Linked DNA regions of Arabidopsis thaliana. The protein of the gene in region 2 interacts with the protein of the main gene of each other region in a biochemical or structural test. Each region holds a gene or a part of one and is shown on either strand. Other genes may lie near its edges.

Evidence for each region.
Region 1: the proteins of ROPGEF14 (region 2) and ROP1 form a complex in vitro, tested with the Arabidopsis thaliana proteins (one study listed by BioGRID).

What each region holds. Positions count from the first base shown.
Region 1 is NC_003074.8:19,041,071-19,044,893, reverse strand, and holds ROP1 (RHO-related protein from plants 1), read right to left. Parts: upstream 2,037-3,823; 5' UTR 1,698-2,036; coding exon 1,599-1,697; intron 1,509-1,598; coding exon 1,421-1,508; intron 1,330-1,420; coding exon 1,220-1,329; intron 1,137-1,219; coding exon 1,073-1,136; intron 993-1,072; coding exon 862-992; intron 781-861; coding exon 679-780; 3' UTR 501-678; downstream 1-500. Other genes in the region: VPS35C (VPS35 homolog C), read left to right, coding at 47-260; AT3G51290 (pyridoxal-phosphate-dependent serine hydroxymethyltransferase, putative (DUF632)), read right to left, coding at 679-780, 862-992, 1,073-1,136, 1,220-1,329, 1,421-1,508, 2,478-3,231, 3,321-3,544. UniProt on the Arabidopsis thaliana protein: May be involved in cell polarity control during the actin-dependent tip growth of pollen tubes. May regulate callose synthase 1 (CALS1) activity through the interaction with UGT1.
Region 2 is NC_003070.9:11,325,467-11,332,698, forward strand, and holds ROPGEF14 (RHO guanyl-nucleotide exchange factor 14), read right to left. Parts: upstream 5,326-7,232; 5' UTR 5,057-5,325; intron 4,437-5,056; 5' UTR 4,302-4,436; coding exon 4,220-4,301; intron 3,353-4,219; exon of another isoform or gene 3,068-3,352; coding exon 2,627-3,067; intron 2,524-2,626; coding exon 2,369-2,523; intron 2,295-2,368; coding exon 2,220-2,294; intron 2,134-2,219; coding exon 1,864-2,133; intron 1,788-1,863; coding exon 1,437-1,787; intron 1,365-1,436; coding exon 1,008-1,364; 3' UTR 791-1,007; downstream 1-790. Other genes in the region: AT1G31660 (bystin-like protein), read right to left, coding at 5,710-5,774, 5,882-5,957, 6,044-6,116, 6,210-6,356, 6,470-6,517, 6,609-6,688, 6,779-7,106, 7,182-7,232.

The DNA.
Region 1 (3,823 bases), on a different chromosome or scaffold from region 2:
CCAGTTGTCACTGCTTTCTCTTAATGGTTTTACGAGTCAAATGCAGGTATCTCTACTTCCTGGAGAAAGGAAACCAACAAGTAACAGGCGATACAATCAAGAGCTTAGCTGAATTAATCAAAAGCGAGACAAAGAAGGTTGAGTCAGGCGCAGAGCCATTCATAAATAGTACTCTACGTTACATCGAGTTTCAGAGACAGCAAGAAGATGGTGGCATGAATGAGAAATACGAGAAAATCAAAATGGAATGGTTTGAATGAATTTATTTCTTGCATTCTGTTAGGCAAATCATCAATAATCAATGGCTTCTCGTCTTGTTGCAGAAGCATGAAGAGTAATCTTGAGAAATAAAACTTGTATCATTACTTTTCATTTCCTAGTTACACTCTCTACCAATAAACATGTTTGCAAAGTTTAAAACAGTAACATACAAAATATGGTCAGCTGAAGAAATGGTGGGAATGAAAACTGATTCAAAACATGTGGTGTTTGTGTGGAATTATGCATAGGACTGAATCGTAGAAGCAAAAGAAACGTTGATTCCGACAAACTCCATTAATATTAAGAACAAAAAGGACCAGTCAAACTTGGGTGTCTGTCCATTAACACATTGATTCATTCATTGTTAGAAGATTAATATACCAAAACCAAATACATAAAAACAGAGATTTCCAATCATCATAGAATGGAGCATGCCTTCTGCGCTTTGCTCTTCTTCTTCTTCTGCTTTGGCGGTTGCAACACCACTCGGATGGCTGCGTCAAACACCGCCTTCACATTCTGCACTCTCACATCATCAACATTAGCATTAACATTAACATTAGAAATCTGCAACAAGGGTATATATACTAATCTACGTACCTCTTGAGTTTTGGAACTGCATTCGATGTAAGTAGGTGCTCCTATTTGCTTCCTCAGCTCCTCTCCCTGAGCAGTAGTAATCGGAACAGCACCAGGATGGTCGATAAAGAACTGTTTATCATCTCGAAGATCTGGAGAGCAAAAACACAAACTCAGTCACAACTAATAAAGTAAAAGGAGCGAGATCAGGAAAAAACAATGGAAAACTCACCAAGCTTTGTTCCAACAAGGACGATGGGGACACCAGGCGCGTAATGTTTCAACTCCGGGATCCACTGCAAACACAATTTGTGACAAGAGTTCAAAAAATGTGACGAAAACTCAATAATATGAAACAAGATTGATGGATTTTTAAAACCTTTTTGGAGACGTTTTCATAACTGGCTTTACTGATAAGAGAGAAGGCCAAAATGAAAACATCTGCTCCACGGTAACTCAGTGGTCTTAATCTATTGTAATCCTCTTGCCCTGTTTATTCATACCCAAATTTTCAAAATCTTCAGATCCAAAAACCATATTCCAAATTTCAAACACCAAGATATATAGGAAAATGAAAAACCTGCAGTGTCCCACAATCCAAGATTCACAGTGCTTCCATTAACCACAACATTGGCACTGAAATTATCGAAAACGGTAGGCACATAATCCTGTATATCCACAAAAGAAACAAGAAACATGAGATATGTTGTTGTTGTGGTAATGAAACAAGAAACATGAAAGAATAATTGGGACATAACCGTAGGGAAAGTGTTGCTTGTGTAAGAAATCAACAAACAAGTTTTTCCGACAGCTCCATCACCAACCGTCACGCACTTTACGAACCTCGAAGCGCTCATTTCCCCTCAAAGTTTATTAATTTCAGGGAAATTTATAAAAAAAAAGATCTCAAAGATTTAGCCTTTGGAATTGGAGACTCTTGATATTTCTATTGATCGACCATCTGGGCATTGCGGATTCGAAACGATTGGAGTTTGTCCCAGAGATTAGAAACCCTATTACCCAAAAAGATAGAGGGGAAACAAAAAAAATGAAAACTGGAAGATGGCACAAAAACCGAAAAAAAACAAAGAGTTAGTTAGAGTTAGCTTTGGCCGGGAAAAATGGCGTTGAAACGTTCCGCTAACCAAACTTGTCTTTCTATTTCCGATTATTGTGGATTTCCTCTTTTAATAGCTCCCAACTAATCAAAATTACCAATCGATTGTGTGTTTATTTATGGGAAATCAAATTAGGCACTTGTCTTTTTCTGCCGCTCAAACGAATCATCTCTCTTTTCTTCTGTTACGTACACATCACGAGTGTTTGATTATCATTAAACTTGCTTACTTCTTTAAGCAATCCCCTTAACTACCTCACTAACTAACTAACTAACACTTCTCCAATGTTAATAATACCTTGGTAGGTCACCTTCCAATGATTTGACTTGGCTAAGAAGTAGTTGAATTGATGAAGTTTCAAGCAGTGATTCAATGAAAAGTCATTTAACCAATTTCATTTCGAAAACAGCATAAACTCAACCTAACATTCAACCAAAAGATTAGCTTGGATCAAGCAAAAACAGAGAGCAAATGGTAAAACAATTTGTCTTTCTCTCTTTAAGGAAGCAACCTCTTAACCTCCTCTTGATCCTCACCGATGCTCTTAGCTTGGTTGTACACAGACTCAAAGGCTTGCATACACACACTTGAAAACCCAACCATTGCCTGAAAGACATGAGGGAAACCCATCTGCAAGTTATTTAGAGTCATGGCTCTAGTCACACTCACTGACTTCTCATGCTTACTTTTCTCTTCTTCTGCTTTTCCTTTTAGCATCTCAACCTTTACTCTCTTCTCTATCACCGGGTTCTTTTTCCTACTCTCAGGTACCGAGTATGGACTATACTTGCTCTCAAGCGCTCTCAGCGAAGCCGATTTCTTCTCGAAATCTTTTAACATGGATTCTGTTCTCTTCTTTTGCTTATGCTCGTCGGCTTGTTGAGCCACAATTCCATGGACTGCTGTCAGAAAGCTTTTGATCCCTTCAGATGCTACTTTATCAGGGATCCTGTCAATAGCTAAATGCCATTCCTCGCAGAAGCTGTAGATCTTTGACTCGTAGCTACTCCTAACAAGTGGATTCTTGCTGAACTGGAACAGACTTAACCTGAGCCAGCCCGTGAGAGATTGTATGTAGTCACGTTGGGCCTTGACCAAGTTGCAGAAAGAGTGATGCCATTGTTGGACCTCGAGCTCAAGCTGAAGAGTTGATTGTCGGTGAAGCTCAGATGTTGGTTCAGTGGAGGGGATGGTGTTAAGGTACTTAAGCTGCTGCACAATATGGGTTTGAACCTGGTGGCTCTCGTACATACTCCTCCACATACACATTAGCCTACATTACATTCATACAAGAACCTTGTTCACATTGACCAACATAAGATACTTTAGGTTAATGAAGCAATGGGAATGCACAAAACAAACCCTTTAACAAGCTCGACAAGCTGAGGGTAAAGCTCGGTCTCTCTGAGCTTGATGATCTCGTTAGAGGCGCTTTGGATGGCTTGTGAAGATACTGAGAGCTGAGATTCTAACTTCTCGACGTCTTTCTTAGCCTTCTCAGTCTTGACATACTCAGCTCTCTTCATCTCAAGCCTCCTCACTTGCTCCACTTTCTTCTCATGATCCATCTTTATGCTCTCTGCATACTGCAACAAAACCCACATTCAAAAAACAACAAACACTCACTCACTACTTGGCAAGATATTTGTGCCAGTGTACATAACACATTATTCATCAGAATTAAGTACACACGTGGGTCTCTTACACTATCTGCTCACGCTTGGACCCACCACAAGCCTTTAATGCCCACATGAATCAACCAAATTCCCAAAAACAAAACATTTATCCATATTTGGATGAAATCTAAGCAAGCAATTTCAATATTCAAACTTCAAACTGAATATAAACAACATTTTCAAACTCTT
Region 2 (7,232 bases):
AATGGGGGAGTATCTTATTAAGACCCTCCAATAATTTTCATTTTTATTTATATGTCTAGTTAGGATGTTTGAACTATATATATAGGTCATGTTCAAAAGTTTAGTTAAAGATTTTTTAAATATGGTAAAATAATCTTTTGAAAAGTTATAGGTCCTTATTGAGTTATATGTATATGAAATTTTTTACAAGAACAGTTTTTTGGTAATCAAGATCCATTTGATCTCTATACTTGCTATATTGAAAACAATTATGGTCTGTTCGATTTTCTTTGAGTTAGTAAGCATAATTGGCCTTTAACAATATTTTGTGTTAGTATCGGATGGCACAGTTGAACTTAAATCCAACCCAAAAAACCTCATTAGTGTCGGGATGATAGACGAAGTGAAGCTTGCCATTTTGTTATACTTATTAGGTAGTATGTACAAACGGAAACTCATTAAGGCTTTGTGCTAATTTCAAATTATCCTTAAGCCCATAATATGTACATATCCAACCAAGATAGATCCCTTCTAAATGAAGACTTCTTATACTCCAATCTTGCTAGTGACTTAATGGAAGTGTGCAAAAGATAGTGGCTTGGTGAAAATACCTGTTAGTTGATCATTTGTCGAGATGACAGCTAATGCTTCATTCAAAGATGGAAGTCGGGATAGTAACCTAATTGAGATTCAAATTAGATTTCAAGAAAGTAGTAATTAAAATGATTCTAGTCTAGTATATTATAAATAGATTATGGTTTTGGACATTTTTGTTTTGAATATACCTTATTTTGTAAAGTATTTTCTGGAAGAGACTAATAAATTTAATCATAATCAATCGTATCAATTTTTTTTCCCGGATTAAAAATTTGCTTTTCACCGTGAAGTTATGAACAAAATTGTATGAATTCGTACTTTAACTGCAATATGTTAATACATTTACAACATCTCAGGCTTCATAATTTAAAACCTTCAAAGTAAAGGAGAAGCTTCAGGTGGCACGCATCGAACTAGGAAGACCCTCTAAATCAAGGAGAAGTATCAGAAGGCACTTTACTCAAACACCACAGTCTACTGCTTCTACTTGGAGTTGTATTCACTGAATTACTTGCCTTAGCATCTGCAAACAAAAAATCTAAACCAGTCTCTGTCCCATCGGCTTTGTTCATGTCATCGGTTAAAGAATGCCTTACACGGGACGAAAGCAGAGGTCTCTCAGGTGTCCTATAAGGGTCACGGGAGCTAGGGAAGCAACTCGGTGGTGCAGGAGAGTTAGGGTTGCTTAAAGAATCTTCTTTCAAGATTTCTCCCATTCTTGAAAGAATCCGGAAAGCTAGATTCGCAAGTGTTCGGGAATATGCTTCGAGAACCGCATGACCTATGTCCTGAACACAGAGAAGAAAGATGTTTCAGACCATTGGACTAAGAAAGATGTAGTTAGTTTTGTTTATTTATACCTTGTCATATTGGATCTTTGTAGCATCAAGAAACGAGTGAGGGAGATTAGGGTGTTTGGATTTGATCTGAGTTCTAAGCGCTTCTGCTCGGTTCAAGAGTGACTCATTGCGACCAATTTCAGACAACGGATCTTTAGCGAATGACCACGATGCTCTTACAGGGGATTTACCATTGCTGCCTTGTTCTGTAATCCTTTCTTTCCAAGCAAACATAGCAGATTCTAACTTGTTAACTGTCTCGAGTGCTGCATGTTCGGTTCCCAGATTGAGCGATATAAAGATTTCATCTACTGTTGCAGATTCCACAGCCAACATCTTGTACAGTTCATCACCGAGGCTGTTCTTTCCAGACTGTTACAAAACAAGATTTTAGAGGTAGTTGTATAATTATGACTATCACAAGGGATAATAAAGAGTGCAAGCTTACTTTAGGTATTGCTTCCTTGATAACAATGGGAACTGGCATTTCAAGAAGAATGTTTTCGTTTATGGCTTTTGTAGCTTTGAAGACTTGATAAACAACTTTTCCTTTGTCAAGCAATTTCTTCCTTCCTGAGTTAGAGAGTCCAGGTTTAGGCACTTGTGGCGATGGAAGCCACCATCGTTTGCTCTCACTTGTACTCTTGTTCTTCCCTTCAGCTCTACTACCAATCTCAGAATACCAAAACTCTGTGTTCACCATAGAATCCAGTGTCTCCTGTGGAGTTGTAATGCAACTTTAATCAGATCAGGAAATAGAAGAATAAGAAAAGACAAGATTAACAAAAGAGATAATCCGCTCACAATTAGCATTGAGTCCAACTTCTGAAGAGCTGGGAGATTCATATGAATGTCTGCGCGGGCTTTCGGAGTCATTATCTGTTAAAACAAGGATTCAGCTCAGTTTCTTCCTCTGGAGTATATCTATTTATTTTAACACCTTAGCTACGTACCTCAAGTGATCTTCCATTGGCATCATTTTGCTTAGAAGGGACTAACTCAATCATGTAGTTAGTTGGAGAAAGTAGCCAATCCATTTCCCTTCTCCATTTCTGTTTCTTCTCTTCACACAAAGGTTCCAATTTCCAGAGCTCGCCAAAAATCGACGCTGCAAATTCATTAAAGTCAGTTACTCTTAACAGTTCACACGAAACCTCTAACCATATCAAAGAACATAAAGCTTAAGAATGCTAGGAAATTGTAAAACATACTAGCAAGATGTGTTACAGCATTTGACAAAGCCAAAGCTACTTGGACACCCTTACATCCCCCAGTGACATCTTCGCCGAGCAATAACTTAGAAAATTTCTCCTTCATAGCTTCCACATCCAAATGACAGTACACATACCCTGGTTTCTCCTTAGCATCAAAATGTTGGCTACTGCCATAGCCTTGTTTCTTCTTCTCCTTAGCATCAAAATGTTGAGACCTTCCAGATAAGTTCAAACCATCGCAACTGTGTTCATCATTCTTCATCGGTAACCATTTCGAAGAAAAAGAGCTAGAGGCATCTTTGCTTGATGAACAGCTTGAAAATGCATCATCATCTAACGAATCTGTAAGACATCCATCTCCTCGACTTGTTCCACTCTCTTCTTCATATGATTGATTATTGATAATACAAGTTTCCAAGCCATAATATGTAATCATTTCTGAAAAGAAAGGGGTACACCACCCAGTAAGAACTTTAACACATATACTTTCACCTTATATACTGTAGACTACAAAGTGGTAAGACACCGAAACTTGCACACTACAAAGAGATTGACAAAGGTAAAAGAAGAGGTCAACAATAGAAAACTAATTAAACACTGCGTATCATTAAGAGACCGTTCAGATTTTGACTATAAAGAAAACCCCACCTAGTACATCTATCTACTTCTTGTCTCATTCATCAAAAATGAGAATCAAGCAAATGGTATCACTAGACACGTTATTTATGCAGACTAGTGTTGTGTTTTCTATACAAGAAAAAACAAATGATAAAAAAGGAATAAAAGTCGTTGTGTTCCCTCTAGTCTTTAATAGCTAAAGTCAAGACTTTTGCTAACCCAAGACTGCTAAACAATTAAAATGCTTCCATTCTCAAAAGGAAATGTATAAAAAAGTCTCAAAAACAATTGAGTTAGTATCCCCATGTGGTGAAAATTTCCAAACGGACCCACTACAAAGACTTTTTATAACTTGTCACGACATGGCATTTTTTCAAACGTTCAAAAGCATACTATAAAAACATCATTATTTAATCAAGCACCAGTGATTTGATTTAATAATGATATCTACCCTTGAAATATGAGAGTTTTGTTTAGTCTTAATAACCATGTGAAACCAATAAAACTACCTACTCTTGGCAGTTTCTGAATAAATATGATTTTAAACAAATGAAAAACTTAGAGGACCCTCAAATCCTGAAACCCCACCTCCTAAGAAACAGGGTTTGGTTTAGATAGGTTATTTGATCATCACATAAAATGCTCTCGCATCATATTAAATTAAGGCATTGATGTCTCGTGGAAAGCTACAGACTTCACGCCTTATTTATTACATGAATGACCTGGTTGGTGTAGATCTTTAAAGGGTCTGAATATTGGTCCCATACCAAAACCTAAACCGGTCACAAGACCACTCACTTTTGTTTGAAAACTATACACCCAACAGTTATAGTCTAAATATTCCATATCATGCCCATAAATGCAATACCTAAAAGCTAAAAAGGTCACCATTGTAGCTATAGATTCATACTTTAAGTAAGCATCGTAAGTGTAAGAATGCAAGAATAGAGATTGGTTAAATCAGTAACTTACTATCTTGTTCATGTTCATCGAAATCGATACTAATCTCCCTCTCCCTGCTACAGCAAGCCAACCTTCTTCTCATCAGCATCATCCTTTCTTCTCTTTTGAATTCTTTTGTTGAACCAGAGAGAAGAACAAAAGCCAAGTTCTTTTCTATCTTTATCGCCAAAAAAACAAGTTTCTCCTTCTTAATCAGATGATATTAAATACACCAACCATCTTGTCCCTGCATAGAAAATTAATTACACATTAAAGATTTTACAGTCAAAGTCAATTAAAATAATTTTTAACTCATAAAGTAAAAAAGCTAACAGCAAAATCAAAATTTTAAACTTAGGTTTGTTCTTCATTATCAGCTAATATGCAACAAAACAACCACTATGCAACAATGAACAATGGAAGAAGACAAAATCATGCTTCACCATTTTAGAATATTATTAATCATACACAAAGAGACAAGAAGGAAGAATTCTTTTTTTCAACTGTACAATGAAGATAAGGCAAAACAAAAACTGAAACTCACTTGTGCCTTTTTTTTTTTGGTACTAATCAGCTTTTTTCTAATGGGGTTACTAATACAACTTTTAAGGAAAGGATTAGTAATGATGTAAAACTTTTAGTATAAAGAGGACCTTTAGCTACTTAAAAAGGCAACAATCTCAAAGTTCTTTAACTAATCTCAAAATGAAATCTTTTAAACAGATTTAACTACAAAGAATGAAACCCTAAACCAAAGAACCTAACAAAGATTTGGCTGATACATAGATCAACAAGACCTAGAACTACACTAAGAGAAACATGAGATAGATTTTGAAGAAACATTGTAAAAGAAATTTGAGCACAAACCTCAATTTCTGAAGCGAGCTTATAGGAAAAATCTAGAGTAGAAGACGATGTACTAGATCAAGTAGAATCTGAGCTTTAGAAGCAACCACATTCGTCCGTACAGTAACTGAGGTGTAATAACTGAGATGATTCCAAAAAAGAATGATCGATGGAGGAAGAAGAAGAAGAAGAAGTAGTAGAGGAATGGGTGAGAGAGAAGTAGAGAACATTTATTGTGGAGGAATATTTTTGTTGACAATGGAAAATAAATATTTGTTTTTGAAAATTAGAGATAGTGAAATAATAACAGCCGTAGGATCTTTGTTGAGCTGTTAGACGGTCGTGATATAGTGAAAGGGTTTGATTTGACAAAAGATCGAATAAAGTGGTCAGATTTATAAAATTTCAAAAACCTATTTACCGGATACTAGCGCCGCTGGTGAGAGACAATATGTATATAGACAAGACCAAATTTGGATTATATCAAAAAGATTAAACCATGTTTAAAGATACACTATCATGTAGTAATAAAAATTTCAAATCTTACTCAAATAAGAAATAATAATACAACGATGTCAAAACTGGAAAACCAGAATCATACCCACCCAGTTTCAGGGTTTATCTCTGCTGCTATGAATCATCAGTCCTCTTTCAATACCAAACACCATGAATCATCAGTCTTCTTCCATTGGTACTTCAGGAATGTCAAACCTGTCTTCTTTAGCCGGTACTGGGGCAAGTGACTTGTTGTCAAGGAAATAACATAACATGGCATAACATACTCAGATTTATATAATCACGCTCTTAAGGTAATTTCAAATAGAAATTAGAAGAAAAAAAGGATATAATTATCCACCATAGGATCTTCTTTCTCTCCACGGTTTCTGCTATCCTTAAGCTCTCTCAGAATCTCAGGAGTAACCTACAATCAAACAATGATAACCCCAATAAGTGGTGATCTACAAAACAAAAAACTTTCAAAAAATTTAGAGGTAGAAGAAGCCTTACAAGATGGTGTTTTTGCCTCTGGAGGAGAGTTTGGAGATGTTCTTTGTCTTCCTTTAGTATTTCATACTTGTACCTGCACATTGGCTAAAGCATGAGCTTACAAAATAACTTAAAAAGTTTTGTTTGATTTGTCAGACATCTTTGTAAGGACTAAGGCGAATATTACCGTTGCACAAAGGTAAGAAGAGACTGGTGCCAAATCACAGGCATAACTCTTATATCGTCAACAAATCTCATGAAGTGAGCAACCAATGCATCAAGCACCCGATACGGCATACAATATTTCTTCTCCAAAAGAACTTTTATAAAGTAACTGCGTCGTAAGAGATTATCAGCACATTCTCACAACTATTTAATTGAATGGGAGAAGGCAATCTACTATCTAACTCTCTCTATTATAAAAGTCAAGAGAATAGTACACGTTACCTTGTTGTGCCACAATAATCCATCTCAGCCAGTCTGTTCAAGGCAACACTGCAGTTCATGTAAAGAAATTAATAATTTGAAACGAATAATCTGAAAATTGTAGAAGATGTTCTATTTATGCAATCTTTGTATCGCATACCATGAGTGAAGCATAGGGATCGAACACTTTTCAAGAATGCTCCCTATAATTACAGCTTCTCTGAGATTGCATGTCCCCGACTGAATAAAGAAAAACCCAAGGAACTAGTAAGAAAACTAGTCACATTCTGAAATAGTTACTGTAGTAAGTTCAGGAGGAGGAATATATACCTTACAAAGCGGGAATAGTATCCCTTGATTGAAAGCACTAGGCTTATACAGTGACTTTTTCAGAGCCTGGTACAGAGCAAAGTGCAGCTTCTTGTGCTTTCTAATATCCTCTCTCACTCGCGGAAGCAAAACATAGTTATAAAACCGTTGAACTTGTCTGTCTTTCAAGTTGGAAGCAAAGATCCTTGTGGCTTGATACAATGCGTTAGGTGACCATTTCTCTGGCTCAGTCAAGTATAAAACATCCTCCCAGTGTTCCATTGAAGTAACAAGCTTAAATGCTTTTGGCAATTTCCCAACTGTATACTCACTCATAAACTTGCCAACACTGCATAACATCATCTCAGAAACTTGAGAACCACTTCAAAATATCGCAGAAGGAATGGATAGAACAAAACATTACCCTTTATATAACTTAGTTATTGCAGGGTCCATTTTAGGATCGGGACGCTCT